4 linked regions of the Struthio camelus genome follow. Each later gene encodes a partner of the first gene's protein in a complex. Links are inferred from orthologs where the notes say so. Each region holds a gene or a part of one and is shown in the gene's direction. Other genes may lie near its edges.

Region 1 (7,828 bases):
CAAATTAAACCAGCCTCCCTTTCAGTCCTTCCAGATAATATAGGTATGGCTTGAAGAATTTAAAGATTTTTGCTGAAACACTAATAAACCTTCTGATCTTTTTTCCCCAGCTATAATTATTCCTTTTGAATGCTGCCTGTAACCCCTAAGGGAATGTGCAGTGCAGGGGTTGCTGATGTGGCTGAACCTTTCCACCTAGATAAATCTCTTCTTTCTCACTGTTTAGCATCTTACCTGTGGCATTATTTTTCCCCTGAGTTGAGGAATGCCATTTAATTCGATCATTTTTATCCCACAATGTGCAGTGACTGTCAGGCATACCAATATCTGATATCAACAATAGCTTATTTCATTACTTTGTATTTTCATCTTCATTTGTTACAAGATATTTCATGAAACATTTAACTCTGCATTTGCAAATGTGAAAAGTGCTGAGGTAGAGAAAAAAGGTGTCGAGGATTTAATAGCCTAAATCCACCCCAAAAGACTCCTGCAATGCAGCAGAAATATACACAAAAGTAAGTGTTTTCAAAGCCAATTGTGGTATTTCAAAGCCAATTGTGGTATTCGCATCAAATTAAGATGTCCCTGCTGGCAGCCACGCCAATATACCTTAGAGCCTCAGCTCCTTACTCACCATATGGAGGACCATTGTGGTGTACTTCTGAAAAGTGATGTATGTGGAGACCTTATAGCTTGCTGTCTAGTAATGTTAAGCAAAAAAGATCATGGTAAAAACAAAAAGGAACTCATCCTTCTTTCTTAGAGACTGGTTTATAGTTGGGGGAAACAGATCTAAGGATTTCAGAACCATTCCTTGCATAAATGTTTCTTGTTATGAGACCTCTGCTAGAGCTGCCATCTTTGAACAGTTACCAGGTCTGGTTCAAAAAAACTCCAGAACTAGGAGATCTGTGAAGACGTTCCTGAAACATGACGTTTCAACTGATTATTTCTATATTGGCTCTGAGAGTTCAGGCTGGCCTAAAGAAGACCTTGTAATGATGAAAATGTCTGTTCCCTAAAGACTTTCAGCTTTAACTAGAAGATAACACTAGACAGCACTAGAAGTGAGTACTTTCCATGCCGTTCCAAAGGTTAATCATTCTCATTGTTAAATATTTCTGCCTAATTTCTCATTTGAATTTCTGCAATTCCAGCCTCCAGTTACTGGTTCTTGTTATGCCTTTCTCTAACAGATTAGAGTACTTTCAGATCTTGTAGTTTTAACTTGTAAAAGTACATATGCATGATGATCAATCTCTTCTCAGTCTTTTTGTAATAAGCAAAACATACTAAAAGTTGTAATTTGCTTACTCAGAATCAATTCCCTTCTTAATGTAATTGACAATAAACACAGATAGATGGAGCTCACCCTCTCCTAATTTGGCGGTACAGCATTTACCTCTTAAGAGCTAACCACAAAACAAGTGCACTTATTGTATTTGCCCTACACTTCTAATTTATGCTAGCCTTAAGTTATCCCTGTAGTTTCCAACCCTCCTCAATTTTCAAGCACTATTTTAAAAATGTGGTCACCAGGACAATATATAGTGGCCCTAGAATTTGCTCTGCCCCTACTTAAACATCCCTGGGGCGCACTGGACTTTTTGTTACTTCATTGCACAACAAATTCATGTTGAGCTGCTTCTCTGACATGACCATTCTAGATCCTTTTCAGAAGCTCTCTTTTCCAGGATAGTACAGTCTGTACTTAACCCCTCATTTCTTACTTCCAGATAAAGAAGTTTGCACCATGCGATATTAAAACACATTTTGTCTGAATGGATCACATCTACCATGTAATCTAGTATGACTCTCCTCTCAGCGTTACTGAACATTTTGCCACTCTGTGAGAGAGCTAAAGACTTTTTGAAGTGATTTCGTATTGACTGCCAGATCGCTGATGAAAATGTTGACTCGTGTAAGTCCTAGTATCCCATCCTCAGAAATACCGTTATTCAGTGTTGATCCCCCACTGATGATCTTTTGCTTTTTGAAATGCCAGCCAGTTCTCCACCCATGTAGCATACATCTTCAAGTGTTGCACAGCGCTAAAAAATGTCGTGGTAGGCAGAAGTAATGGAAGGTGCACCAGATCAGGTCCAAGGACAACTGTACGAATTAATTTTTTTGGTCTTGTGGCTAACCCAATATATGAATTAAATCATTATCCCACTTCAAGAGAAAAATGAAAAAAAAATCCTGTTCTAAATGAAAAGAAGTTTTACTAGACTAGAAATTAAACATTCTGGTTTTAAGAATTTTCCTACTTTAAAAAATACAGTAGGCTAAACTTGGCCAACGTTGTTTTAAACCAGGGTTTAAATGTTTCATTTTGAAAAAGTTGAAAGAAAATATGTTGACTTTTCCAAACTTCCCTCATTTTTGAGTTCTAAACTTCTCAAGAATTTATTTTTGTTTATCCCAGCAAACATTTTTGACAAGTTAAATGTAAGCGTTTTCTAGGTTTGATATTCTGCATGTACCCCAGGACAGGGACAAGTAGTTACCCACAGCTGGATAAGCAGTAGGTGCCTAAAACAGACTGAGATACATTTACAAAGCCATACGGTCTGGAATAAGCTTGTGGAGCCCCTTCACACCATATGGTCCACTCTACCCAGCGTTAAGAGCCTTACATATTCACAAACTCTAAATTAGCCAACTCACACATCAAAAGTAAACCGCAAAATTGAACCGTAAAAATTATTCAACAGAACTGGTCTTACAGCCAGACAGCTATAAACATCTCCAAACACAAACAGCTTATTGTCTGCAAAGAGAGAGAAAAAAAAAAGAATAATTATAAGAACAAGCAAGCAGTGAGCGTGAGGAAACCAATGGAACATCTCTCAAGTGTTGGAGCTGAACCAGATTGCTCAGGTACAATTTTACCTTCTGAACAACAATTTTCTGTAGTGACTGTCATAAAAACTGTGTTGCAAAATAGTTCACAAACTTGTACAACTACCATACAGCATTAAATAAAACGTCACAGCAAAGGAAGGAGGAGAAACATAGCAGTAAGACAGAGAATAGACATTTTTTCAGTTGAGGCTAGTATCACAGTGGGAGATAGAGACAATGGCAACTTCATATGGTGACAGAATGCTCTTTAATCTGGGGGCAATACTGCTGGATGTGACAACAGCAATTCAGTTCCTAAACAAGTGAAGGAAATGGATACAAGAGATGACAGAGGAGCTTTGCTTAGCACAACTATTGATAAACAATATATGTCAAAATCTTGTATCTTTAGCTTTGTTTGATGTACTCAGAAGAGGACAGTTTTCTCCAAGAGAAGGGAAAATATGTCATTCATAGAGCTGATGACACAGCTGCTGTCAGCACAATGCAAACCCGAAGTCAGATTTCCACTGAAGTCAATGAGAATTTTGGCATAGAAGGACTACAACAGAACTGCCCTTACAATCCTCCAAATCTCACTCAGCCTAGAAATTCTAACAGATGAATTTAGTCTACAGGAGTTTTGTCTCTTTTATAGTCTTCCTGCCTCTTACTGCACGGAAAGTTTTTATTTATTTATTTGTAATAGGAATATGTTTGCTTCTTATACATTCTACCCTTTTCTTCTCTAGTCGGCTTGTGTGTCTCTTCTAGATGAACCATGCCAGGCAAAGTGGGCATGATCCTCACCATACTTCACAAGATGGTAACACAATAGTAGCAGTTATTAATCGGCAACTAAATTTATTGTCCTATATGGCACTAAATACTGCCACTTCAGCACTAGCGGCACCTTATCCGTTTAAAGCTCCATCTAGTCTCCAGTTACTACAACTTCCTGGCTAATATTTTTCCCTATTTCACATTTTAACTATATCCTAAAAACTACATCTCTTGAGGTGTTTTAGAAGCTTCATTTAAAAAAACACTATGTAACATTTGAACATACGCCCATTACATGTACACAGCATCTGACATTTAATGCAAAAGCTTTTATTTTAACTCAAGTTATTTATATACCAGTTTTCATCTCTCTCTCTCCTTTTTCTCTCATGTCCTACTCAGTGATGCCTAAGTACCAGATATCAGATCAAGAAATTCTATTGCAATGCCATTTGCACTGTATTTTCTACCTTTTACTAGGATACCTCATCCTTCAGCTGGATGAACCATTAAGTTACTGAAGTTGTTGGAAACTATATTTATAGACAGGATGTCTAAAAAAGGGGCCTTTGTACCAGGCTTCCCTCCTTTTTTTTCTTTGCAATTTCAACGAAGACAACTGTATCAAACCTGCTGAAGCAGCTTTTCTGGGATTGTGCCATTGCTGCTGGGTCCAACTCTTCTGTTTCAGTTTGCAGAGACCAGCAATGCCTTGGGAGGTATCGAAGGGGTAAAGATAGGCACTACGAGAGACACCGTCGACTGAGGCTGGGGGGATTTCATCAGACTGGGGCTGTCAGGTAGCAGATTTGCGCCTGGCATCGCACATCAGGTCCCAGGCCCCAATGTGGCTGCAGTGTTTAGTGACCCACACCAAGCCCAGCAGCGGCCTAGAGACCAGCGTGCACAGATGGAGATGTCCTCCACCATCCTGCACACTACAGGCTGGCCCTGAAAAAGAAAAAGGCCCTTACGGCCGCCCCGTACCTGGGAAAGACCGCTCAACCCGACCGCCGCCATGGCAGCCACACGACCCAACACGCCTCCGCGCCGGCGGCGGACTGCATCTCCCAGCAAGCACTGCGCCATGCGCGCATGCGCCTGGAGGCGGGGGACCCCGCCCCGCCTCCGATTGCGGAGCTCTGAGACTACAACTCCCAGCCGCAACTGGGTCGCGCGGCGCATGCGCAAGCGCGCTCCCCGCCCCCCCACCCCCACCCCCCACAGACGCTGGGCCCCGAGAAGACGACGAAGGCGGCAAGATGGCGCTCACCAGGTGGGTCCGGCGGGTTCGGTTTGCCCGGGTCGGGGGAACTGCTCTCTCTCCTGCCTGCGTACGGCTCCCCGGCCGCTGTGTGGGGCTCCGGCCGCCGCAGAGGGCCGCGCTCAGACCTCGCGCTGCCGGGCCGCGGGCTCCCTAGGCGCTGGGCCCGCCGGCCGACGAGGCCGCGCCGCGGTGGGTCGAGCGTCGCTGCTCCCTGGGGACGGCGAGGGCCAGGCCGGGGGAGGCGCAGGGGCCTGCCCCGTACTGGCGGGAGGGGGCGTTGGGCAGTGCGGGCACCGCCTTCTGGACGAGGGGGCTCCTGCCTCGCGTGCTTCTGCGGGAAGACGGAGCCCCCGGCCTCGGCTGGAGGTGATCGGATCGGTGCGATTTCTGTGGGGGTTTTCTCACCGTTAGTGAGGATGGGAGGGCCTTGTTACGAGCTGCTGCGTTTCTCTGACCGTCTTCAGGAGTGCGACTTCTGTGGGCTCAGGAGCGCCTTCCGTTTAGGAGGTAGATGCTTCCTTGAAGACATGTAAGAGGCCGTCTAGATGAGCTGAAAAGTAGGAAGTCAAGAATTCGGGGCTCAAGTTCTTGACTTTGGCTGGCAGGGGTTTAGTGCCAAGGGGGAGGATTGTCGATAGATCTCTCTGTGGACGTTCGCTTTGAGAGAAGAGAAGGGGGAGTCACTGAGACTAGGGGTGTATTTTCTTTTTTCTGATTGGTAGTAGTGGAAAAAAAAATACATAGTGGTCTGTCACACTCTTGTTAGAGAATGGTCACTGTCATGCTGCTGCTCAGGCAGGATGTGAATATGGGTGAATTTAACATCAGGTTCTATAGAAATCCTTCAGAACGTTGACAGAGCACGAATTGATTTTGCCCCTTTAAACTTGGAAGTTACTGCTCTGTGCTTCATGAGCACCATGCTCAAGTTTCGTGAATCTCTATTGATCAATGGTAGAGAGAAGAAGAATAGTCTAGTTACAGATTCAAGTGTCAGTTGAGTTTTGTTGAGTGAAATTCTCAAAATTAATTGTCTCTCTTTATTTTGGGCTATCTATGGATGTGCAGTTTTTTACCGGCTCCAACCCAGCTGTCTCAGGACCAGCTAGAACTAGAAGAAAGGGCGAGAGCGCAAAGATCGAGGCAAACTGCTCTAGTGTCATCACGAAGAGAACCTCCCCCGTATGGTTACCGGAAAGGATGGATACCACGGATGCTGGAGGTATATGCTTACAATCACACTGTAGTAGTGTGTCTCTGTTCATGAAAAAAAGTGTATTTTTTGGAGTAGAAATAAACTCTGAGCATCTTGAATGTAGCACAAAGAATTGTGTGAAGCCTTACCACATGGAGAACTTCCATCAAAGCTGATGGATATGTTCTTGAGTCAGGGGAAGTTGTTGTAATTAACTGTGTTACTTAAAAAGTTTTATGGTAAGCTGTATATTGTATGGGCTCTTCCCTTTAGAAATTATTATGCAGTAATGTGGAAATGGTTCCATGGCCATGTCGGTTTACAGTCTCTCAATGCAAGGATGCTCCAAGAAAGACATCTGTGTTTTCCCCTCATCGTTATTTGTTAAACACGTGATCTAGGTTATAGCTGGAATAAGGAAACAGATATATATATATATATATACACACACACACATATAAGAGAACAGACTACTTATGGGTATTCTGTTCTTATGGTAACACGAGGTAGCTGCTAGTGTGGAGGGAGAAACTCTTGTTGGAATTGAGAGGAAAACTTTAAAATTTGTCATTGTTAAAGTGTGTTACTGGCAGAAGGGTCTTGGATGGTAATCGTGGATGGTAATTAGCTGTGATCCCGGCCTGTTTTATGTGATTTCAACTGGAAGAGTTGAAAATTTGGATAGAAAATGCAAGTGTATAACTGAATACAAAAATCTTTTGGTGTGATTTGTCATTGCAGATTTGGAAAAAAAAAATTGCAGACAGTACTTGAAATGGTACTTAACACAATGTCTGAGACCTGTTACGATCAGCCATGAGCAAGTGTTCTTGGGACAAGGCATACTGTTCAGGTTTTGGTACAGTGTTTTGTGATCCAACCTTGTTCACAAATGCCATCATTTCATGAGCTAATAACAGCCTTACTTACATAAATACTTTACGTTTGGAACCATCTTTTTAAAGATGGATCCAACACAGTACTTTGGTGATCCATTAGCACTAAAAAAAGGTGACTTCAAATAGTTCCACTGCTCCTTTAAGACAAACTTCTTCTGTAAGCTCTGCATTTAATAATGTTAAGAGCTCTACATTCACTTAAACTTTCTGCCTACGCTACTTCTGATGTTAGCATATTATTCTCCAAGTGTTAGCTAAGAACTTCTTAAAAAACTAGGTCAAGGTTTTTAAACAATTTCCAGCATCACTGGGCCACAAAGTGATACAGATCTCAAAAGGGCTGTTAAGGACTCCCTTGTCCATCTAGATAAATACATATTCTTCAAGGGTAATAAATGTTTCTAAAGCATAACCTTGGTCCCATGATTCTGGGATGGCATCAATGGAAAAATCCATTCTTAGAAGATCTAGAGTACTTTGAAAAGTTCTGAGGAATGACTAACTTTTGTTCCATGTAGTATTTTAACATTGATTCTGTAACGACTTGTTGCATGTGGGACATCCGGTAGAAGACCTTCAGTAATTGGTCCTGTATTTCAGTGAGCACTTTAAGCTACCGTGAGCGTGTGCTGCTGTGGAGGGGTGTTCTGCCCACTTACTCCAGCTTCAGTCCGCTCTCTGTGTTGCACTGGCAAAACTACTTGTCCACATGGTGAATATGATGGAGGATCAACCTACTGAAAATGGAACCAATCTTTTTCATTGATCTGATTCACTGTCAGGCTCTGCAAAAGCTATGCCACTGCAGCCGAAAGAGGAGGAGATGCTGGTGCT
Region 2 (8,012 bases), on another chromosome or scaffold:
GCAAAACAGCTCTCTGAAAGCACCTCAAAAGCCTTCATCGTTGCTTACCAATTCTGATGTAAACGTGAGTATGCTGTTCAACCCATACAGGGAAGATGGCTTTTGGAAATACTATTCGAATTTGGTCAAGAAGGTGTTTTTCAAGAGAGGAGGCGTGCAGTTCCTATGAAAATTTACTATCATTAGAAATAAAATCCTTCATAAATATTTAAGATTTGTTTGAGGATAAAAACTCTATGTCTCTTTCTAATATACCATCTGAAAGACAAAATACTATGAAAAACCCACCACATTTATTGCTTCCTTCGGGGAGGTAAAGGACAGCGATTGTGCTGAAAACTACATATACCTGACATCTTTGTCATCTGTAAGGAAGAGGACGTGAAAAACAAAAAGAGTTTTCTTACCAGTATTTCCCAATCATCTGCTGAGAGTGGTTCCACTTCTACTTGCTGACAGGAAGAGACATGAGAACAGGGTTCAAGGAATACCTGACAAATGTAAAACCATTTTGAAGTATTTAACTCCTTGCTTTTAATAAATAAAAATCCATCTTTAATTCAGCCAGACAACAGACATCTCCGTTATGCTTTCATTACTCTGAATATACGCTATCTTAATGGCACTAGCTAAGCTTATTAGCAGAAGATGAAATTTCAGTGCATTGGAAATGGATTGCATTGGGTATGCTTGGCGCTTTGATGCACCATGAACATAAGTGAATGAGAAGTGCATCAGGAACTGTATCAGCTGATATAAAACAATCCATTTTAAAGCATTTTGATCACACAAGCTTCTTTGGATTTTTATTATTTTTTAAAAAAAGGTTCCGCACTCTAGGAAAATTCATCCAATTGTGCACAAATTTACATAAGGCAGAAATAGCTGAAGAAATGGAAGAGGAAAAAATACAAAACAATAACAACAGCAAAAAACACACACACAATGAAACCAAACCAAGTTCTTCAATGAGTGGGTTCACAGGAAGCATCCCCACTTCCACATAACAGCTTTAAGGTCCTGTGTACCAGGAAGAATTATAGAAGCTGTTGTGGCTTAGGGAAAATACATCTTTTCAAGAGTCTTAAATATATATTTCAAGAGTTAATTTTACCAAAGGTTCATTATTTCAGAAAATAACAATTTTCAAACAATATAAGGCCATACATTTTTAAATAAACTCAAATAAACTTCTTCTGAGATAAAACTATCTCTAGTTACCTGTCCTCTGAGACATATTTGTTACTTTTATAAAAACTGATCTGAAATAATTGATTTTAAATTCCTGTGGGTCCTCAAGTTTGAAGCAAAAGGTGTGAGGAAATACCTTTTCCCAAATGTGGTAAACAGAAGAGCATATAACTATGAAACACAGCAAACATGTACTTTGAGGTCAAAAAGGTGGTGAAACTACTTAATCGTTCATGATGTATAGATGATTATTTCCCGACAACAGCTACGTAAGGTTTTACTCAAACTTCTTTTGTCGATTTATTTATTTTTTTCTGTTGAAGGCTATTAATTGTTAGAACAGAAAAGGCCACTTACCTTGCCACTGAACTAGTAAATCTAGTAAAAAAGTAAACATGCTAATGTAATACACTGCTTCAAGCCATGTCCTCTGATGTGGTTTATTTTGTTGAATAAGATTTTCTACATAATAGAATACGCATATATGAATATATGACACAGTAATATCGTGCAGAACAGTACTTTTCTACTCCTGTTGATTTAACTCTTCACCTATTAAGATAAAAGAATCTTGGATGCTGAAATGTTAAGAGTCCCATGACGCATATCTTTGGCTGTCTCCTGGGCATCTATCCAACTTCTCTACACTAAGAGAATCATTTAAAGAAGTTGTTGAACACACTGTCCAAGAGTAAGAAAACAGTAGGCCAATTTAAATAAATATTCAAAGAAAGAGGACATGGGGCTATAGGGTGAAGGGAGAATAAGAGGGTGACAATTCAAATCCAATATAAGTCAAATAAGAAGAAATACAGAGCAAGTCAATAATTATTTAACAATGACAGGAACTCCAGGCAGAATATTTTAATGAAAGAATTCCCAACTTATTTAACTGCAAATTATGTTTTCCTAAAAATAACGTCACTGCAGAGAGTGGCTCCAACCCTGCAAAAACCTACCCACAAGCCTATCCTTACATCATTTAGGTAATTGTAATGATTTTATGAACAAATCTTTTCATGGTTGAGACATGCTTCATGAAGGTGAACTTTTTCCATCAGACAGATATTAACAAAGTAACTTGGAGATGAGTGCACACGAAACAAGATGCCAGTTGATAGTTAGCTTGTAAACCATTATCTCTTCAGGGATCTTGTGCTATACATTCCATGTTTAAAAAAAAAAGGCGGGGGGGGGGGAAGAGAGAGCGATCGCGAGATTGCATTTCAAACCTGTTCTCCATCGGTAATGCCAAGTTTCTCTGCTAATTGTCTGTTAATCTCTGCAATATTTTCACCCTGGTGACCTCGATGCCTGATTTCCATCCAGCTCAAAAATATAGGCTGATGACCGCCGGAAACTTTCACAGCTTGGCCCTATTAGTTTCAGAGAAATAGAATAAATTAGTATCAAACAACTTAAATAAAATGACTCTTATTGAAACTAAAGCTTATATTTGATTAGAGAGCTGAAAGAAATTCAAAATAATTTATGGATTTTACCTGCCCAATTTTAATGAATATTCCAAAACTGTAATACACAATGTTTATAGTGTTTCTATTAATGATAATGGAAAATTTTTGGCTCTGGTGGACTGCTCAACTTCATCATCAAGACTTTCCTCAGAATTCTTCTCCGTGTTAGCTATCTGCACAGCTTCCAACACAGAATTTCTTGTTGGTTTCAATGTTTAAACAGCTTTCAATTTTTATAGTCGATTTTAAGTATATCTTCTTCCCCTTTTTCTGCATGATAATCTACCAACCAAATATCCCATAGAAATGTATAACTACACATTTTTATCTCTCATATGGGGGGAAAAAAACATACGTATATGATTAAGTTTCACATGCACTTTAATATATTCAGTACAGACTCTAAGAGTGCTTTCATGAGTTGGAAAATATTTTTAAAAAAATGTTATACTGACTTTGCTCAGACTACTATACGAATAAGTAAGCCCTAGCTACAGGATGAAACTGTAAGACTGTAAAGAAATTGCACTCCTTGTTTCTATCTCCTGAAGGCAGATTTGTAGCAAAAACGAAGCTAACATTTACACTGAATTTTTTGTAACAGGAACCTGTTCATCCCCACAGTTTACCAATGCCCCTTTAATCTCTCTTTTAGCACTCTGAAGGAAAAATAGTAACTTCTTACAAATCTAGATAATTTTGCTGTTGTGATACGTCTTTCTTGACCTCAGGAAATTAGCATGATGTTATGGGCTATTCCATAAATCTCCATGTGATTATTTGTCAAGTTAGCACATTCCAGTCTGCAGAAGGTATAAGAGGATTGCACGTTCCTGCTCCATTCTCAAACTCCATTCTGATTTTCTCCTTTTCTCCTGCTCCTTCTTATGGTGTCTTTTTTCTGCATACGTGATCTGTTCTGTTAACAATTTTTAAATTATTGACTTCTTTACCTGGCACAATGGATGCTCACAGGCCTTGCTAGTGTTTTCCTGTGTGAGATGTTAATAAAAACATAAGGGACGCTTCCTGCAACTGATTCGCATACCTCCTATCATCCAAAGCCCTATTAAGTATTTCTGTACAGAACTACACAGCAAAACATATATTTAGGTACACCAAGAACTATGATTCTGCACAGATTTAACATCTTAGCTACTACTTGAAAGATCCAATTTACATGTTATTCAGTTAATGCTGGTGCATGGATTACTGCCAAAAGAAAGGTATAAAAATAGGCAGTGCTGAGAGAAAAGTAGATGACAACATGCAGGTGGTGTAAGACTAAGTTCAGAGATAACGAAGTCCCACCTTTTTTTGTTTTAGCAAGGAGAACGCATGACAACACGGTCAGAAACCTTGGCACGACGCTGTGAACCGTCCAGACACGCTGACGGCAGGCAGCGGCCCGACTGGACGGCAGCGGTACGAAGCGTAAGTTACGCGCTTCTACGGGAAGCCACAGGGCTGACTGACTTTAAACACTGCCTCCCACACCCCTGATCTTGTCCGTACGAGGGGGGCAGCAACAGCCCGCGGGCAGCGGGGGGCGGGGAAGGCCGCGGGCGGCCCCCGGCGGCGCTGGGGCTGGGGCAGCGGCAGGCCGGGGGGGGGGGGGGGGGGCGGGGCTTCCCGCTGCCTCTCCGGGAAGGGCTCCAACCACCTGGGGGAAGGGGGAGGCGCGCGCGCGCCTTGTCACCATGGCGACAACACAGCTTGTAGGGGAGAGGTGACGTCAGCAGTGATGGGGACCGGGGGAGGGGGAGGGGGAGGGAGACTGCGTATCGCCATGGCAACGGGATGCCGGGAGGGAGGAGAGGTTGCTCTCCCACAATCCTCCCCGCCCCAGGAGTCCCTTCGCCCAGGCCCCGAGCGGAGCCTAGCCGGTACCTGCTGCAGGCGAAGGTGAGAGGCCAGCACGGGAGGCAGGTGCAGGAAGCAGTCCCGGCTCCCGCTGAGGACCACTGTCACCGCGGCGACTCCAGCTCCGCCTCCCCCAGGGTTGCCGCTGCCCCACATCCTGGCGGGCGGGCAGCCGGGCGCCACCGCCGCCGGGCGCCCGCTCCGCCCTAGCGCTCCGTGAGGAGGGCGGGCAGCCTAGGCCTCCCCGAGATCCCTCCCCCCCCCCCCGGGGCAATAGTATGACCCACGGCCAGCCAATGGGAGCGCGGCATATACTCATTCCCTTTTTCTGATTGGTTGCTCTATCGAGGGCTTCAGCTTGTTCTGTCTGGCTTCCGTATGCCGTCGAGCTCCACCTAGTCGGAGCCAATGAGAGTAAGGCAGTTGTTCTGTCCGTTGCCTCATTGGCTACTCTCTCGGGCAGCGGCTAGAGCGACCTCCGTGGGGCGCAGTGACCGACGGGAAGATGGCGGCGGCCGGCAGCGCCCTGGGCGATGCTTGCCGGCATCACGCGCAGTTGGGGGCCTGCGAGTCGCGCGCCAAGTACCGCGAGGGGCGGAGGCCGCGCGCCGTGAAGGTGAGGCGGCCGCGGGCCCGGCCGTGCGAGCGGGCCGTCCGCGCTCCCCCGGGGCGGCTGCGGCCGCGGCCGCCTCGGAGCGGGCGCTGCGCCGGCGGGTCCGGCCGTGCGGCGCGGCGCGGCGCGGCGGCCGCGGCTGCAGGCGCGGCTGCTGTGGGGGGAGGGCGGGCCTGCGTCCCGTGAGCTCGTCGGCAGGAGCGCCCCGACCTCGCGGGCTGTGCTTGTGTCGCTTCTTGGTGCTTGTCTCCGTTCAGGGCTTTTCTGCGGTTCGTCTCCTCCGCCGTGTTGCTGCGGCGCATCGTGTGCCGGCTCCGGTAGGGTTGAAGGCGGGCGTAGCGTGAGGCGCTCCCCTGACAGAAGTCGGCCTGCCTTCTCACCTGTCGGCCGAGAGGAAGCGGCTCTTTCAAAGTCAGCAGGAACTTTGCTGAGCTTTGGAGAACTTTACTTCCAGTTCTTGAGACATACCGTCTACTTTGGCAGTTACCGCATCCTGATGGCCCTCTGCCGTGCTCGTTCAGTGTCCTGCGCTGTGCCTGGAGCGCACAGCTGTGCAGCATGAGTAGCCCCTGCCCTGAAGGGTTTGCAGCCTTAGCGTGTTTCCTTTTTATGCACAAAAGCAGTAGGCACTAGCAGGAACTGGTGGATGTGAGTCCAGTAAATCTAGTAACCTCAAAACTGTACCTTGTAAATTAATTGGTTAGAAATGCATGTGGCACAAGTAGTCCAGTCTTAGGCAAAACATAAAAATACAAAAATGATTAAGTGGAGTGTAAAGAGACTTCTGCAGCTGAATGCTGCAGTTATTAGCTAACAGAGTTGGGTACGCAATGTCATTGAACTCAATAGGGCTTAGATGCACAAGGCTGTTCTTGTATTTATGTAGTCACACGCATCTGCTCCTGGTAAGATTCAGGGAAGGGCACACATTATAGTTGAAATTTCTCATTACACTGGGCTGGAGAAGGCTGCATTTGCTTTTTGCGTGTGTAGTTAACATACTGTGTGCAGTATAGGTATGTTTTAGGGCTGACTTGGGAAGGAGAACGGCTAGGAATAAGCTGTTGTCAACGAGAACAATTTTTGCACGCTATTTGGAGAGGGTACCTTTTTATGACGGTGGTTTGAGAGCTGATTTCCTGACTGGTTCCCTCTGGTCCTGCATTTGCTGGCTTTTGAGAAGGATGTGCATCTCATGCAGTCTAAATGTTTTTGAATGAATTCATGTATATTTTTTAAATCTTACAGTAACCAACCTGCTCTACGTAGACTGAGCTGTCAGAGCTTCCCTTGGATTTTTCTTCCTGTGTTGTTCTGCTACAGTCATTATGCAAAGTAGAAAGGAATTTCTGCTAACCTGCCAGGGAAAACATTGCTGCTCTCAGCATCTGATTTACGTATCTGTCTCTCAAAAATGTATCTTGTTTGATCACTGCAGCAGAGGCAGCTCTGTACACACATGATGTGCCCAAAGGGATCAAAGTATTTTCTGCCTGCTTTGCCTCTCTGCCTTGTGATCGGTAAAGATTTTACAGGATTTGTTCTTTATTTTGACAGTGCCTCATACTAATTGGCTACGATTCAGTCTTGCAAGGAAATCTAGGGACTTGAAGTACTGCTGTTTGCTGAATAAAACTTATGACCTGGTGGAGAAAGTGCCGACTCTAATTTGCATTCTACTTTTGAGTAACAGGAATGAGTTCAGTCCCTCTCAGTGATGGAGAAGTCCCAGAAAACTCTGCACTTACCTTTTTGCTAAGGTCCTGGCTTACTGCTACTGCCAAAATCTAAATAGAGCGCAGAGGATTTTCAGTGTTCTGAGAGGATTTGAGGAGCAACAGACAACGTACAGGAAATTCCTGGAATTGTTACTTTTGCACTAAAGTAAGAATATAAACACTTTAAAATACTGTGTTCTGTTCTTTCAGGTTTACACTATCAACTTGGAATCTCGTTACTTACTAATACAAGGAGTTCCTGCGTTAGGTGTCATGAAGGAATTAGTTGAACAATTTGCATTATATGGTGCCATTGATGAGTATCATGCTCTAGATGAATATCCAGCAGAGCAGTTTACCGAGGTTTATCTTATAAAATTCCAAAAACTGCCATGTGCAAGGTACCGTATAGGGCAGTATCTGCCTTCTTCTTACTCTTTTACACCCTAGTTGTTTGTAATCTGTTAAGATTCCAGACAGTTGAAGTGCTAGTCTTGGTTTTGCTAATACAGTTTAATTTCCTTCAGGGTGGCCAAGAAAAAAATGGACGAACGAAGTTTCTTTGGTAGCTTGCTGCATGTGTGCTATGCTCCAGAATTTGAAACAGTCCAAGAAACGAGGGAGAAGTTGCAGGATAGAAGAAAGTATATAGCAAAAGCAACAAATCAGAGAGGTTTGTAATTAGATTTCCTATAGATCTAACATATCGTTTCAGTGGTGGGTGGGTTAGAAGTGCCCACAATAAAACAAAATATTTTGTGTTTAACTGTTTTAAAGATTCATTTTAAATAAGCTAGCAGCAGAACAGGGACATCTTTCAACATTTAGAGGGCTGTATATTTTTGAAACAATTTTTAGTCTTTGGTTGATACAAAAATAAAAAAAATGCACAAGTTTTAATACTTCATTGTTTCCTTCCCTTTCCATTTTCTACTCTAAACGTTATCAGAAATTTCCAGCACTGATCAAGAAATTGGAAGTCATCTTTTCACCCTTGTTCCAGCTTATTCAGGCAGACCAAAAGGGAAAAAGTATTGTAAGGGGACCACACCCAGAGGCTTTTAACAAAACTTCTCTAGGCCATGCGTTGGCATTGGAGGAATGCTGAAAATGGACTGGGTTTACAGGCAGTGGGGCTGCAACACAGCAGAG
Region 3 (7,108 bases), on another chromosome or scaffold:
TATATTGCTTTGCAGGTTATGTAGCATATTATCAACAGGTATGTCCCAGATAGGCTCACCATTCAAGGAGCTGAATGTTTAGACAGCACTGAAAGGGAGAATTAATACAACTACACTGCCTTCAGTTACTGGTAAGTGAAAATTCAGGGTTGTTTTATGAAGACAGATCTTTTTCACTAATTGCAAACTTCTTGCTTTGACAGTTCTTTTGAGCGCTGCCGGGAGGACAACAAGAAATCTACTTATTTGGTGCAATGATGCTTTCAAGTTGAGCCTGAAAACAAATGAGACAGTAAGTTAAATTAGCCTTAATCTAAAAAATAAACCCACATTGCTGAAAAGCGATAAATTGTCTGTTATGTATTCAAAGTGAGCAGCTGAGGGATGCTGCAATACTTCAAGAGAAATAGGCTAGGGTTTTTTCCTCTGGTTATTTCATTTCTTACTACATGTTTTATAAATTAACTTTTCATTCTTGGCATGCACACTTGTTGCCTTCTGAGAAGAAAAGAGCTGGCCTTGGTTCCATACAATGAAAGACTCATTTTATAATGTAAAGCATTGAAAAGGAAATTAAATAAAAGCTGTTGAAACAGTGGTCTGAGTTCTCTGATTTCAGGCTAGACTATGTTCGCTAAATTAAATGTTTGGCTCTTTACAGTCTGGAACACAAGCTCTGACTCTGGGACAAAAGGAACTGGGAACAGCAAGTTTTTCAGTTACTGAGACAACTTGATGCCCAATTAGTAGATTGATCAGCGAGCTACCAATGCTTAGGGAGTTTTTGGTATATGAAGCTTCTGGGACTTGCAGATTGTCCTCTTCATATTGCTGCCATCAAAATAAACTCCAGTTTTGGTGTGTGTGTGTGTGTGTGTATATATATATAATATATATATATATAGCTGTTAAAATATTTCTAGTTCAAAGAAGAATAACAGCTTCAGTGGCAACACGTCTTTAATCTAACAGTTATTCCACTTCATGTCCTAAACAGTTCAAGACGGCTTGAAGATGTTAATGGTTTAGACAAGAAAAACAGTAAGAATGTTAAAGATAAGGAAAGCAGCTGAGTGCAAAGTAAACTTCTAGACAGACAGGTTTAATGTTGTTTCTGATTACGTTTTTTCTTTAATCAAAAGCTGATTTTTTTTTCCCCCAACAGCAAAGAAATCTGTCTTTGTCAAACTGAAGGTGTCTTGGCTGCTGAGTAGTAGCATGCACAAAATTACTTCTGTCCTATGCAAATCAATTTCAGTGATCCAGTCAAGAGCACCATAGGACAAATTGCTTCACCATTGTCCATGGTAGCATGTTAGCAACCAACAGGTGAACAGGACACATACTTTTACCTACAATATAGTAATCACACTTTAAATGTTTAGAAGCTTAGAAACCCAGGCAATAGTGTGTGCTTGCCCTTAGGTTTTGCTATTGTCTGTAGCTCGGTTATGTGAGATGTAGATTGGAAGTTTTGAGGAAAATATGACAACAGTGCCACCAAGTTTCCCTGGGGGATTTGATCCTATGGCTAAATAGTTTTATTAGAAAAATGTATAAGAAGTTAAATCCATACTACAAATGCGCACTTGGTTCTCTTGTAACTATTCCAGACTGTACTAAAGTTCACGCTGTCTTTAGATTTGCAACAAATACATCTATTAAAGAGCTTCTCAAACACCTTTCGGGGGTGCCTCTGATCCCTAAATACAAAGAGTAGATCAGTAACTGATAATTCAACGTTTGTTTTCCAGGCCAGGTAGCGTAGTTAAAATCTGCTATAGTAGAGTCTGCCCACTGTATATGAAATAACTGACACCTTATGATGAGGACTAGCATCCGTAAGGGAAGAAAGAGAATGCTACTTCTCCCACAGAGATGAAAATAAAATAACCAAATACATGTTTTAAGGATGTAAGCCACAGATTAGTCTTGTGCCTTTTTTTTTTAGTTGACCTCTCTACCTAGGGTTGGAAAAGTGGTAACTTACCTTGTTTATAAATCAAGGAAAGTGGAATGTTAAATTACAATACATAAGCACAGGGCTTAGGCACCCTCTCAGTGATGCCTGAGCTTTTGGTAGTACAGTGTATCTCATGTAAGCTTTGAGGCAAGGATAAAAGAAAAAAGTCTCTGTTGCATATAATACACAATTGCTCTTATTAGGCAATGTTTAATTTTAAATGGTGTCTCTTCTTATCAGGGAGTAAACTTAGCTGCTCTGGCCAACAGCAAAGAAACAAAACTTTCTTCATTTGTCTTTATTAAGTTTTCTTTTTTGTAGCTGAAAAGGGATGGCAGCTACAACAACCTTAAAATCAAGTTATGCATAAATAGATTCCAGGGGCGTCAAATTTGAAGTCTATATTTGGGGTTCATCTGTGTGCGTCTGCTAACTGACCATAAGGATTTAGCATTATCAGAACAAACTGTGATATCCCTGTGGCAAATTTGTATATAACTAGAGCCCAATGAATCTGACCTGCTGTTTGGATGATCAGTTTTACTCATGATGACTAATTACTGACGGAGCAAGGAAGTAAAGTATGCAGAAGAGCATTTTTCCTATTTCACTGAGAATTCAAAGGTGGAACATGAATACAAATGCATCCTAACCTTCAGCTGCTGATTTGTTCGTTTCAGGAACTGGACCTCTTCACTGTGTTTCTTTTCCTCTATCTGTCGCCTTTCATTTTCACGTTTTTCAATAGCTTCACATTTAGCTTTCTGTTCAGTCACTTGCTTTTCCAGCTCCCGCTTTTCTTCCTCTAGCTCTGCAATCTTGGAAAAGAGTATAGATTGCTCAAATCGTGTTTGTTAATAAGCAATTTCCAATTAAGACAGGTTCAAGTTTTATGTTGTACAGTACAATAGGTAGAACAGATAAATTTATGGAGTACAATTAAGCCCTACAGTAAGGTAAGTATCTTGATGGTCTTTACTGCCATCCAGTGGAAGTAGAAATACCTGATTTTATATAAAATTTTGTACGTGAAATCGTTACGCTTTATCACATGCAGAAAGCTACCTTACGAGGTTGACAGCCCAACTCACTCTTTTCTCCATGTCAGATTTGCCTTGCTCAGCTTGCAGTGCCTTCCGCATGCCGAAGGCAACGCTGCTCTCATACAGAGTCTGATAAGCAGCAATCGTCATTTGGATTTCATCTCGGACTCGAAGCAGCAACAGCCCTCGCTCTGCACAGTTAATCGTCGTTTCGCGGATCAGTTCATCTTTAAACAACAGGCACAAAAGCACAGTTAAGGCAGTAGGTGCGTTGGCTTGGGGAGGCCGGCCCCCCGCGCCGGCCGCCGCTGGCTGCCCGGCAGCCGCAGAGCGCCACGGCTGGCTGTCGGCGGCGCGGCCGGGGCCGGGGCAGAGGGCGAGGCGGCGGCGGCGGCCGGCGCGGCGGCACTGACCGAAGCACTGCGCGTAGAGCTGGCGGCGCACGGGGCACAGGCCGGTCTCCCGCGCCTGCCGCTGCCGCAGCCGCAGGTCCAGCTGCTCCTGCAGGCGCACCACGTCGGCGCGGGTGCTGGGGGCGCCCGACACCTCCTGCACCCAGAGCCGGCCGTCCTCCGCCCACTCCCTGCACCGGAGAGCACGGCCGTCAGCGCCGCCGCCGCCGGGCCGCGCCCGCCCGCCGCCCCTCGCCGCCCCTCACCGCGGCGGCAGGATGGCGTTCAGCACCTCCCGCGCCGGCTCGGCGGCCGCGCCGGGCCGCGGCGGCGGCGGGCGGCCCCCGGTGGGCGGGCGCGGCGGCGGGGCGGGGGCGGAGGCGCCGCCGCCGTCCGCCCGGGGCCCGGGGCGCTCCGCCCGGCGGCTGACCAGCACCGGCGGGTCGTAGCGCAGCAGCGAGTCCGGCGGCGGGATCATGGCGGCCGCTCGCCGCGCGCGCCGCTGTCGCCATGGCGACGGCGCGTCGCGGCGGGGGGGGGGAGCGGGCGGGCGCGCTGCGCGTGCGCGGGAGCCCAGCAGGCTGCGCGCACGCGCAGGAGAAGGGCGGCGCGGCGCCGGCCTCCCCCCACCCGGCCCCGGCGGAAGTACTTCCGGGTGGCGGCGCGCGAGGCGGAAGCGGCCGCACTTCCCTTCGCGCGGCGGCGGCGCCATGGAGGCGGCGGCGGCCGAGCGGCGGCGGGAGCGGCGGCGGCGGGCGGCGGTGAAGGCCGAGAAGCGGAGCCCGCGGCGCTCCGGCTCCCGCTCCCGCTCCGCGCGGGGCAGCCAGTCGCCGCCGGCCGAGGAGCGGCGGGGCCCGGCCGGGCCGCACCGGGGCGGCAGGAGCAGGAGCAGCAGGTAGGGCCGCCCCGGCGGCGGCGTCGCGCCCGGGCCTCGGCCTCCCGCTTTGCTCCCGTGCCCTCACCCCCCCCCCCCACTGTCCTTAAAGGTCGCCCAAAAGGAAGGAGAAAGCGTCGGGCAGGAGAAGCAAGTCCCCCCGGAGCAGGAGGAGCCGGAGCCCCCATCACGTCGCAGTCAAAGTCAAGCAGGTAAATCGCCTCGGTGCTGCCGCCGGGGCCTGACCCTGCCGCGGGTCTGGGGGGCCAGCGCTCCCGGGGAGGCGATGCTAGGGCCCTGTGCGCTGCACTGCCTCCCGGAAAGAGAGAGAGAGAGAGTGAGCCTCCTCTGGCAAAATTCATCCGTGGAAGGCAGGAAAAATAGTTCCTGACTTACTTTCTTTTAGTTGTTGTCATGTCTAATTTAAAAAAAAGTTTTACAGGTTCAATATCTGTTGCTATCCACTTCAAACTCTGTCCTGAGCAATTGAGTGTTCATATGGGCGTGTTGTGAATTTACCACTTGTGCGGACTGTTCCTGCAAGCTGCTTGCTTTGCCCGGAATACTGTTGATATCTGAAAGTCAAGTACAAGCCCCTTTAGCTTTCAGTTGTCTCTTCAAGCATCTTATTCTGTGGAAGGATGGCAGGTCTGTCTCTCTTTTTTAAGCTTGTGTTACTCATTGTAATCGTGGGAATCCAAATAGTTCAGCAAGAAAATAGTTTTTTACTACTTTATGTTAGATCAATACACAAGACTTTTGAGTCCTTGTTTTTCATGTGTTAGATTGTGATTTTTTTTTTCTTTAAAGTAGATTCCTTTCTCTTTTCTTCTAATTCTAAATAGACCACTATAAGAGATTATTCATTACAGGAACGAGATGATCATTGTCACAGAGGAAATGAAGAACGAAAGCAGAGAAACCCATCAGAACAAGAACACAGGCGAGATAGAAGTGGTGAGAGAGAAAGACACAGAGATCACTCGGACAGAAGGAAAAATCCTAATGAAAGGCCTGGAGGCCGAGGCCACGAGCGAGAAAGGGATGTTCAGAACATTCGTGAGCAGCAAGCAGAGAGGGAGTTCTATAATGAGAGAAGACGAGAGCACCGACAAAAGAATGAAGTGAGTGGTATTAACCAGAATCCAGAACTCGGGCAATCTGATAATAAACCTAAAGATCCTGTAAAAAAAGAAAAGCCAAGTTTTGAACTGTCTGGTGCGCTTCTGGAAGATGCCAACACTTTCCGAGGTGTTGTGATTAAGTACAGCGAGCCCCCAGAAGCTCGGATACCAAAGAAACGATGGCGCCTCTATCCTTTTAAAAATGATGAGTTCCTTCCAGTCATGTACATTCACAGACAGAGCGCTTATCTCCTGGGCAGGCATCGCAGAATAGCAGATATTCCTATTGACCATCCCTCCTGCTCAAAGCAACATGCTGTCTTTCAGTATCGGTAAGTATTATTCTCTGTGCCTGCTGGTGAAACAGAAGTATTCTGAAACTTGTATTTATAAACAAACAAACAAAAAAACCCCAAAACAGAGTTTAGAAGTGTTAGTTTGCTGTAAGTGTCTCATGTCAGAGATAGCTGGAATTCACATATGGCTGCTGTACGTTCTCTTAGCAGTAATCAAAAATACTTGAAACTTCTCCCATTTAACCACAAGCAGTCTTCCTGTAAGACAAATAACATAGCAGGACTAAATGCAGAATTGGATGTATATCTGAATTGGAATAAACGCTCTCAGGTGTAATTAGCGGTAAAAATATTTTGCAACCAAGATTGCTGCTATCCTTTTGAAGCAGCAAGGATTGTATGCTGCTGAAGACAGAGCTGCTCTCAAGGAACAGCCATCTGTTCGGTGTTACAAATTACTGTATTATATCACCATAAGTTTTAGAAGGTGATGCAGTCTTTCAGAATCTCATCCCGAGTGCCTCCTTACACTCATTATGCTTGCTTAAATTTTTGAAAATACAGAACGTTTTGAAAACTCCATCTACTTCTAGAGTGGCTGCATAAATGGGAATTTTGTGTCTGTCTTGTTATGATTGAAATAGTGCTTTTTGTTTTGCCAGGCTTGTGGAGTACACCCGTGCTGATGGTACAGTTGGCCGCAGAGTAAGGCCTTATATAATTGACCTTGGTTCTGGCAATGGTACTTTTCTAAATAACCAGCGGATTGAACCTCAACGTTACTATGAACTGAAAGAAAAGGATGTGTTGAAATTTGGGTTCAGTAGCAGGGAATATGTTCTTCTCCATGAATCTTCAGATAAATCTGAGGCAAACACAAAGGACGATGATGAGGAGGAGGACGAGAAGGAGGAAGAGTCTGACAGTTAACAGATCAGGAGGAAATTGGGGGGGTGAAAAAAAATCTTTGCAGTAGAACGTGCATTGGGATGTAAACATTGGCGCATCGAAGCACTGATGCCTCTTATTGCCTTAAAGTCCTTCTTCTGTTGCTGGTCTGTTCTTGTAGCTTATTTTGGGGACTTAATCATCTTGGATAGTTCTGCTTATCAGGAAATTCAGCTTTTTCTAAGCTAATTTCCCCTGACAAAGAAAAAAGAGCACCTGGATGTGAAAGCTGTGGTGCTGGAAATATTCAACAGATGTTGGAAGGCTATCCCCTTCTAGTAAATGATGTAAAACACAGTGGGCATATTTAAAATTATTTTTATGAACTGTTTTGTCATAATCCTTTGAAAATGCTACTTAACTGAAAAATAAGGTAGAAACTAGCTGATATATTTTGTCTTATTTGGTAGGATTTGCCGAATTTGTATGCCTGTTAAGAAATCTAGACAGGAGAATTTACCAAGTTTC
Region 4 (6,366 bases), on another chromosome or scaffold:
ATAAAAATAAGCGGGCGGGCGCGCCACGATCCCGCACGTCGGCCAGCGGGGAGCGACCGCGGCGGCGCCGGCGCGAAGCCCCCGCGCCCCGGCATGCCGGCGGTCCCGGCCGCCCGCGGTGCTATTTGCAGGTGTTTGGGGTTGGGTTTTTTTTGGAGTCCGGCGGGAGGGGCGGCCAGGCCGCAGGAGCCACGGGGCGGCCGGCACGTGCCGCCACGCAGCCCCGCTCGCCGGGGCACTCGGGGTGCTGGGCCCCGGCACCGGGTGCTGAGGCCGAGCCGGCCCCGCACGTGGCCTCTGTCTGGGACCAGGCAGGTAAATCCAGGCTGGAAGCTGCAGCAACCGGAGGGGCAGCGGGTGCCCCCCATGCCGGGGCCTGCAAAGGGGCAGCAGGGGCAGGTGCCGGGGCACGAGAGCTGCCACGGGGTGCGACGCAAGGTGCTGGCGCATCTGGGATATCTGGGATGCAACATCCTGGCCAAACCGGGGTGCAAGAGCCCGGCAGATCCGGGATGCAACATCCTGGCCAAACCGGGGTGCGAGAGCCCAGGAGATCCGGGATGCAACATCCCGGCCAAACCAGGGTGCAAGATCCCGGCCAAACCGGGGTGCAAGAGCCCGGCAGATCTGGGATGCAACATCCTGGCCAAATCGGGGTGCAAGATCCCGGCCAAACCGGGGTGCAAGAGCCCGGCAGATCCGGGATGCAACATCCTGGCCAAACCAGGGTGCAAGAGCCCGGCGGATCCGGGATGCAACATCCTGGCCAAACCGGGGTGCAAGAGCCCGGCAGATCCGGGATGCAACATCCCGGCCAAACCGGGGTGCAAGAGCCCGGCGGATCCGGGATGCAACATCCCGGCCAAACCAGGGTGCAAGAGGCCGGCTGGGGCGGTGCCGGCGGTGCTCGGCGCTGCACGGCCGGCGGGTGGCGACGGCGCTGGGCGCTGCGCGGGGGGGCCCGGGCCGGGGGCGGTGCTGACCCGGGAAGCGGATGGGCCGGGCCGGGCATGGCGGAGGCGGCGCAGGGCCGGGTGCAGGCGGCGGTGGAGAGCATGGTGCAGGGGCTGGAGCGGGACAGCATCCGCGGCCTGCAGGTACCGGCGGCGCCCGCGGCGGCAGCTCTGCGCGGCCCCGGCCCGCGCCCCCTGCGCCCCCCCCACCCCCGCCAGCGCGGCCCTGGGCACCCCCGGGCGAGCACACCCCGGGCACACTCCGTGCAGCCTCTGTGCAAGCACCGTGCACGCTCCACGTGTGCCTGTGCACACCCCGTGCACACCCTGGGCAAGCACCGTGTGTGCCTGTGCACACCCTGGGCAGCCCCCGTGCATGCTCCATGTGTGCCTGTGCACACCCTGGGCAGCCCCTGTGCATGCTCCATGTGTGCCTGTGCACATCCTATGCACAGACAGCCTGTGCAGCGCCTGTGCACGCTCCATGCGTGCCTGTGCACACCCTGTGCACGCACACCCTGTGCAGCGCCTGTGCACGCTCCATGCGTGCCTGTGCACACCCTGTGCACGCACACCCTGTGCAGCGCCTGTGCACGCTCCATGCGTGCCTGTGCACACCCTGTGCACGCACACCCTGTGCAGCGCCTGTGCACGCTCCATGCGTGCCTGTGCACACCCTGTGCACGCACACCCTGTGCAGCCCCTGTGCACGCTCCATGCATTCCTGTGCACACACAACCTGTGCAGCGCCTGTGCACGCTCCATGCGTGCCTGTGCACACCCTGTGCACGCACCCCCTGTGCAGCCCCTGTGCACGCTCCATGCATTCCTGTGCACACACAGCCTGTGCAGCGCCTGTGCACGCTCCATGCGTGCCTGTGCACCCCCTGTGCAGCCCCTGTGCACGCTCCATGCATTCCTGTGCACACCCTGTGCACACACCCCCTGTGCAAGCTGCACACGCCTCCCTGCACACCCGGTGCAGCCCTGCGGCAGCAGGAGGGCAGCAGCTTGCAGAGGCCGGCTGGCCCTGCCGGCTCGCTGCGCGCTCATGGCAGGGGCGGCGCAGGGCACTCGCGCAGGGCACTGACGGCCCCGGCTCCGCAGGGCGCCATGTTCCGGTGCAGCGCGCGGTGCTGCGAGAGCAGCGCGGCCTCCATGCAGCAGGTGCAGCAGTGCATCGAGCGGTGCCACGCGCCCCTGGCGCAGGCGCAGGCCATCGTCACCGGCGAGCTGGAGCGCTTCCAGGTGAGGGTGGCGGCGGGGGCGGCGCGGCGGCAGGCGGCACGGCGCGGCGCTCACAGCCCTGTCCCCGCGCAGGACCGCCTGGGCCGCTGCACGCTGCACTGCAACGACAAGGCGCGGGACGCGCTGGAGGCAGGTGGCCCCGAGGCGCGGGCGCGCGCCCAGCTCGACGCCTGCGTGGCCGCCTGCGGGGACGAGCACCTGCGCCTCCTGCCCGCCATGGCCCGCAGGATGAAGGAGAGCCTGGCCGCCCTCGAGCAGTAGCGGGGGGCCGGGCCGCGGCCCCGCGTTTATTAAAGGCGAGGTGCAGAGCTGGGCCCCAGCGGCGCCGTGGTGGCGGGGGGGGCCGCAGCGGGTGGCGCTCTGGGTGCTGGCAGCAGGGAGCCCCTGGTGCCCGTGCCGAACGGCCGGCGGTCGCTGGCTCGGCATGCCCGGGGCAACCGCTGCCCGTGCGCAGGGCGCGGGGTGACACCGGCGTGAGTGCGTGTGCAGTGCAGGGTGATCCCTGGGGGCGTGCAAGGTGCAAGGTTATCCCTGGGAGTGTGCAGGGTGCAAGGTGATCCCTGGGGGCGTGCAAGGTGCAGGGTGATCCCTGGGAGTGTGCAGGGTGCAAGGTGATCCCTGGGGGCGTGCAAGGTGCAAGGTTATCCCTGGGGGTGTGCAGGGTGCAAGGTTATCCCTGGGCGGGTGCAGGGTGCGGGGTGATCCCTGGGGGTGTGCAGGGTGCAAGGCGATCCCTGGGCAGGTGCACGGTGCGGGGTGATCCCTGGGCAGGTGCAGGGTGCGGGGTGATCCCTGGGGGTGTGCAGGGTGTGGGATGATCCCTGGGGGCGTGCAGGGTGCAGGCTGATCCCTGGGGGTGTGCAAGGCATGGGGTGACCCAGGCACATGTGCAGGGTGCGGGCTGATCCCCGGGGGTGTGCAGGGTGCAGGCTGATCCCCGGGGGTGTGCACGGTGCAGGATGATCCCCGGGGGTGTGCAGGGTGCAGGCTGATCCCCGGGGGTGTGCAAGGCATGGGGTGACCCAGGCACATGTGCAGGGTGCGGGGTGATCCCCGGGGGTGTGCAGGGTGCGGGCTGATCCCCGGGGGTGTGCACGGTGCGGGGTGATCCCCGGGGGTGTGCAGGGTGCAGGCTGATCCCCGGGGGTGTGCAAGGCATGGGGTGACCCAGGCACATGTGCACGGTGCGGGCTGATCCCGGGGGGTGTGCAGGGTGCGGGCTGATCCCCAGGGGTGTGCACGGTGCGGGCTGATCCCCGGGGGTGCGCAGGGTGCAGGCTGATCCCCGGGAGTGTGCAGGGTGCAGGCTGATCCCCGGGGGTGTGCAAGGCATGGGGTGACCCAGGCACATGTGCACGGTGCGGGCTGATCCCCGGGGGTGTGCAAGGCATGGGGTGACCCAGGCACATGTGCACGGTGCGGGCTGATCCCCGGGGGTGTGCAAGGCATGGGGTGACCCAGGCACATGTGCACGGTGCGGGCTGATCCCGGGGGGTGTGCAGGGTGCGGGCTGATCCCCGGGGGTGTGCAAGGCATGGGGTGACCCAGGCACATGTGCACGGTGCGGGCTGATCCCCGGGGGTGTGCAGGGTGCGGGCTGATCCCCGGGAGTGTGCAGGGTGCGGGCTGATCCCCGGGGGTGTGCAAGGCATGGGGTGACCCAGGCACATGTGCACGGTGCGGGCTGATCCCCGGGGGTGTGCACGGTGCGGGCTGATCCCGGCGGCGTGCACGGTGCCCCCCGTACGTGTGCCCGGCGGGCGGCGCTGCTGGTGCCGCTGCACGGAGCGGCGCGCGCGGCCGCGTGGGGAGCCCAGCGGCGCCGGGAGCACGTGGCGCCCTCTCTAGCCGTATTGACCCGCGTATCCGCGCATCCTCCCCCGGTTCCCCAAGCCGGTGCCGCCGTCGCCTCCGGGGACGGCCGGCCGCAGGAGCCCTCCGGTGTCCTGCTACTTCTGCCCCTCCGCCAGCGTGTCCCCGCCGGGCCTCCTGCGGCGCTTGGTGCCGCAGCTGCTGCGCCTCTGCTCGGGGGAATGCGGTAACCGCTCGGCAACGGGGGAAGGAGGGGAGTGTCGCCTTCCGGGGAGGCGCGAGGGGCGGCGGGGCGGGGAGAAGGGGGAGGCGCGGCCGCTATTGGCTGGCGAGCGGGTCACGCGGGGCGGGTGGAGGGGGCGGCGCGGTGACGTCAGGCGGCGCGCGCCGAGCGGCAGAGCGGACGGTGGCCCCGGCGCTGAGGAGACGCCATGAGCAAAGCGCACCCGCCCGAGCTGAAGAAGTAGGTACCGGCCCCGGGCGGGGGGGGGGCGCGGGAAGGCGGAGGGGGAGGGAGGTGGAACTGTGAGTGGGGGACGGGGGGGGGGGGTGATGTGGGGGGGCGGCGGCGGTTACCTGCCCGAGCGACCGTTATTCTCCAACCGCCGCTCTCCCGGCATGCATTGCGCGGGGTGGGGGTGGGGGGCGTCATGGCGGCGGGCCGCCCGCGCCGCGCTGACCGGCGCCCGCCGTGTCGTTGCAGGTTCATGGACAAGAAGCTGTCACGTGAGTCCCGGGCTCCGGGGGGCGGCGGGGCGGGGGGGGCAGGTTAACGGCAGCGGGCGTCCTCGATCTCTTTTATGCCCCCAAATCGGTGTGTGTGTGTGTATATATATATATATATATATATATATATATATATAATATATATTTAAGATTGCTACCTTGCATTATCTCTCACCCTCTCGCTTCTTACGCTCCCTTTCTTACACTGGCAGCGTTAAGTGAGGGTGCGATGCTCTTCGTGCTTGTGATTGAACCCCCCCCCCAACTCTTATTATGACAGCACGCTCTTTCTGAGCTACTGTCCTGAGCAAAACCACCTCAGATGCCGCAGTTCGGTGGTCCCGTCCTTCACGCTTACTGGATTTCTTTCAGTGAAGTTAAACGGTGGCCGACACGTCCAGGGGATATTGCGAGGGTTTGATCCCTTCATGAATCTAGTCATAGATGAGTGTGTGGAGATGGCACCAGGAGGACAGCAGAACAACATAGGGATGGTGGTAAGTACTAGTTTGGATTGTCAGGGCTGAAACAAGTAACAGGTACCTGGTCTGTCACCGCCCTGCAAAGACAGCTAATATATGTATTTAAAGGAGCTGAGTTCTAAGAAGTTGATGTACTTGCTGTAAGGAAAATGTAATGTAAACTGCCTGTGAAGTGATGTATTTGCACACAACAATCCATTGTGTTTTAGAGTTAAAATTAGTTGTAGTTTTCCTTTGTAGGGAAATGCATTTTAATTTCAACTTTGGAGCAGCATCTACTGTGCAGTCTTCTAGGAGGACAAATTTGGATGGGGCAGGGGGGAATCTGCAGTGTTACAGAGCTGTGTTTACCGATGGGCTTCATCTCACTGGCTGCTGTGAACTTTTCTTTTTAGGTAATACGAGGAAACAGCATCATTATGTTAGAAGCCTTGGAACGAGTATAGAACCAGTGAAACCCGCTTAGTGACAGTGTGTGCAACATGTGGGATGACCCCTGTGTGTGTGCAGCATGTTGGGCTGTGATGGGACCTAACTCTACTATTTTGTGTACTCAGTTAAATCCTCTACAAACCATACATCACTTGTGTAAACTTATTTTTTGTTAAATAAATTTTGTAATGGTTGAAGTAACTTGAGTGAGTTGTACCTGTTGTTATGCTGCTAGCGCAACAGATTTATTATTATTTGATAGCCTTAAAACTCTGAAAAACTTCCGGGGGCTTGCTTTCTTCAAGCGGGTGGAAAATAGGCTTGTCCTTGCAGCAGGTGACACGCACAGTTTCACAATATTGGCATTAATTTTGGTCCTGTATTCCTCTGCCCTCTTGTGGCAAGCAGGCTATTAGGCTTCTTTTACACTATCAGTGTAGTGGCAAGGGCTGGAGCATTTGTCTTATTAAAATATTTGTGACAGCAACTTGACTACGATCTGCAACCCCGATGTGAGGTATTGCTATTTTGGGTTATTTCAGTTGCCCCGTGCAGTGCAAGGGGTAGAGTAGACTGAGCAAAGCATGGGGCTCTGTAGTACTGGTACACTTGTAGAAGGTTTAAAGCATTCAAACAAGACTAGAGCTTATGGCGAGTCTAGTAATAGCGCCACACATAATTTAGACATTAAGTGCTGCAAAAGGAGCACTAAA

The links.
Region 2: SNW1 (region 1) and RBM48 share a complex: the UniProt entries of both Homo sapiens proteins name them as parts of the minor spliceosome. The link is inferred for Struthio camelus from reciprocal best matches to the Homo sapiens genes SNW1 and RBM48.
Region 3: SNW1 (region 1) and SNIP1 share a complex: the UniProt entries of both Homo sapiens proteins name them as parts of the SNARP complex. The link is inferred for Struthio camelus from reciprocal best matches to the Homo sapiens genes SNW1 and SNIP1.
Region 4: SNW1 (region 1) and SNRPG share a complex: the UniProt entries of both Homo sapiens proteins name them as parts of the minor spliceosome. The link is inferred for Struthio camelus from reciprocal best matches to the Homo sapiens genes SNW1 and SNRPG.

What each region holds. Positions count from the first base shown.
Region 1 is NC_090946.1:59,329,819-59,337,646, reverse strand, and holds the start of SNW1 (SNW domain-containing protein 1), read left to right. Parts: upstream 1-4,815; 5' UTR 4,816-4,895; coding exon 4,896-4,909; exon of another isoform or gene 4,910-5,163; intron 5,164-5,305; exon of another isoform or gene 5,306-5,322; intron 5,323-5,968; coding exon 5,969-6,122; intron 6,123-7,828. Other genes in the region: ADCK1 (aarF domain-containing protein kinase 1), read right to left, coding at 4,621-4,653. UniProt on the Homo sapiens protein: Involved in pre-mRNA splicing as component of the spliceosome. As a component of the minor spliceosome, involved in the splicing of U12-type introns in pre-mRNAs.
Region 2 is NC_090943.1:27,304,165-27,312,176, forward strand, and holds the start of RBM48 (RNA-binding protein 48), read left to right. Parts: upstream 1-4,996; 5' UTR 4,997-5,034; coding exon 5,035-5,145; intron 5,146-6,505; exon of another isoform or gene 6,506-6,624; intron 6,625-7,070; coding exon 7,071-7,261; intron 7,262-7,387; coding exon 7,388-7,533; intron 7,534-8,012. Other genes in the region: peroxisomal ATPase PEX1, read right to left, coding at 49-163, 408-491, 2,424-2,567, 4,557-4,685. UniProt on the Homo sapiens protein: As a component of the minor spliceosome, involved in the splicing of U12-type introns in pre-mRNAs.
Region 3 is NC_090964.1:10,834,245-10,841,352, reverse strand, and holds the start of SNIP1 (smad nuclear-interacting protein 1), read left to right. Parts: upstream 1-4,108; coding exon 4,109-4,293; intron 4,294-4,384; coding exon 4,385-4,484; intron 4,485-5,144; coding exon 5,145-5,728; intron 5,729-6,354; coding exon 6,355-6,622; 3' UTR 6,623-7,108. Other genes in the region: DNALI1 (axonemal dynein light intermediate polypeptide 1), read right to left, coding at 239-274, 2,617-2,781, 3,055-3,233, 3,420-3,589, 3,665-3,876. UniProt on the Homo sapiens protein: Required for pre-mRNA splicing as component of the spliceosome. As a component of the minor spliceosome, involved in the splicing of U12-type introns in pre-mRNAs. Down-regulates NF-kappa-B signaling by competing with RELA for CREBBP/EP300 binding.
Region 4 is NC_090968.1:3,162,679-3,169,044, reverse strand, and holds SNRPG (small nuclear ribonucleoprotein G), read left to right. Parts: upstream 1-4,324; 5' UTR 4,325-4,444; coding exon 4,445-4,476; intron 4,477-4,716; coding exon 4,717-4,739; intron 4,740-5,111; coding exon 5,112-5,236; intron 5,237-5,616; coding exon 5,617-5,667; 3' UTR 5,668-5,854; downstream 5,855-6,366. Other genes in the region: protein FAM136A, read left to right, coding at 1,011-1,097, 2,061-2,201, 2,274-2,462. UniProt on the Homo sapiens protein: Plays a role in pre-mRNA splicing as a core component of the spliceosomal U1, U2, U4 and U5 small nuclear ribonucleoproteins (snRNPs), the building blocks of the spliceosome.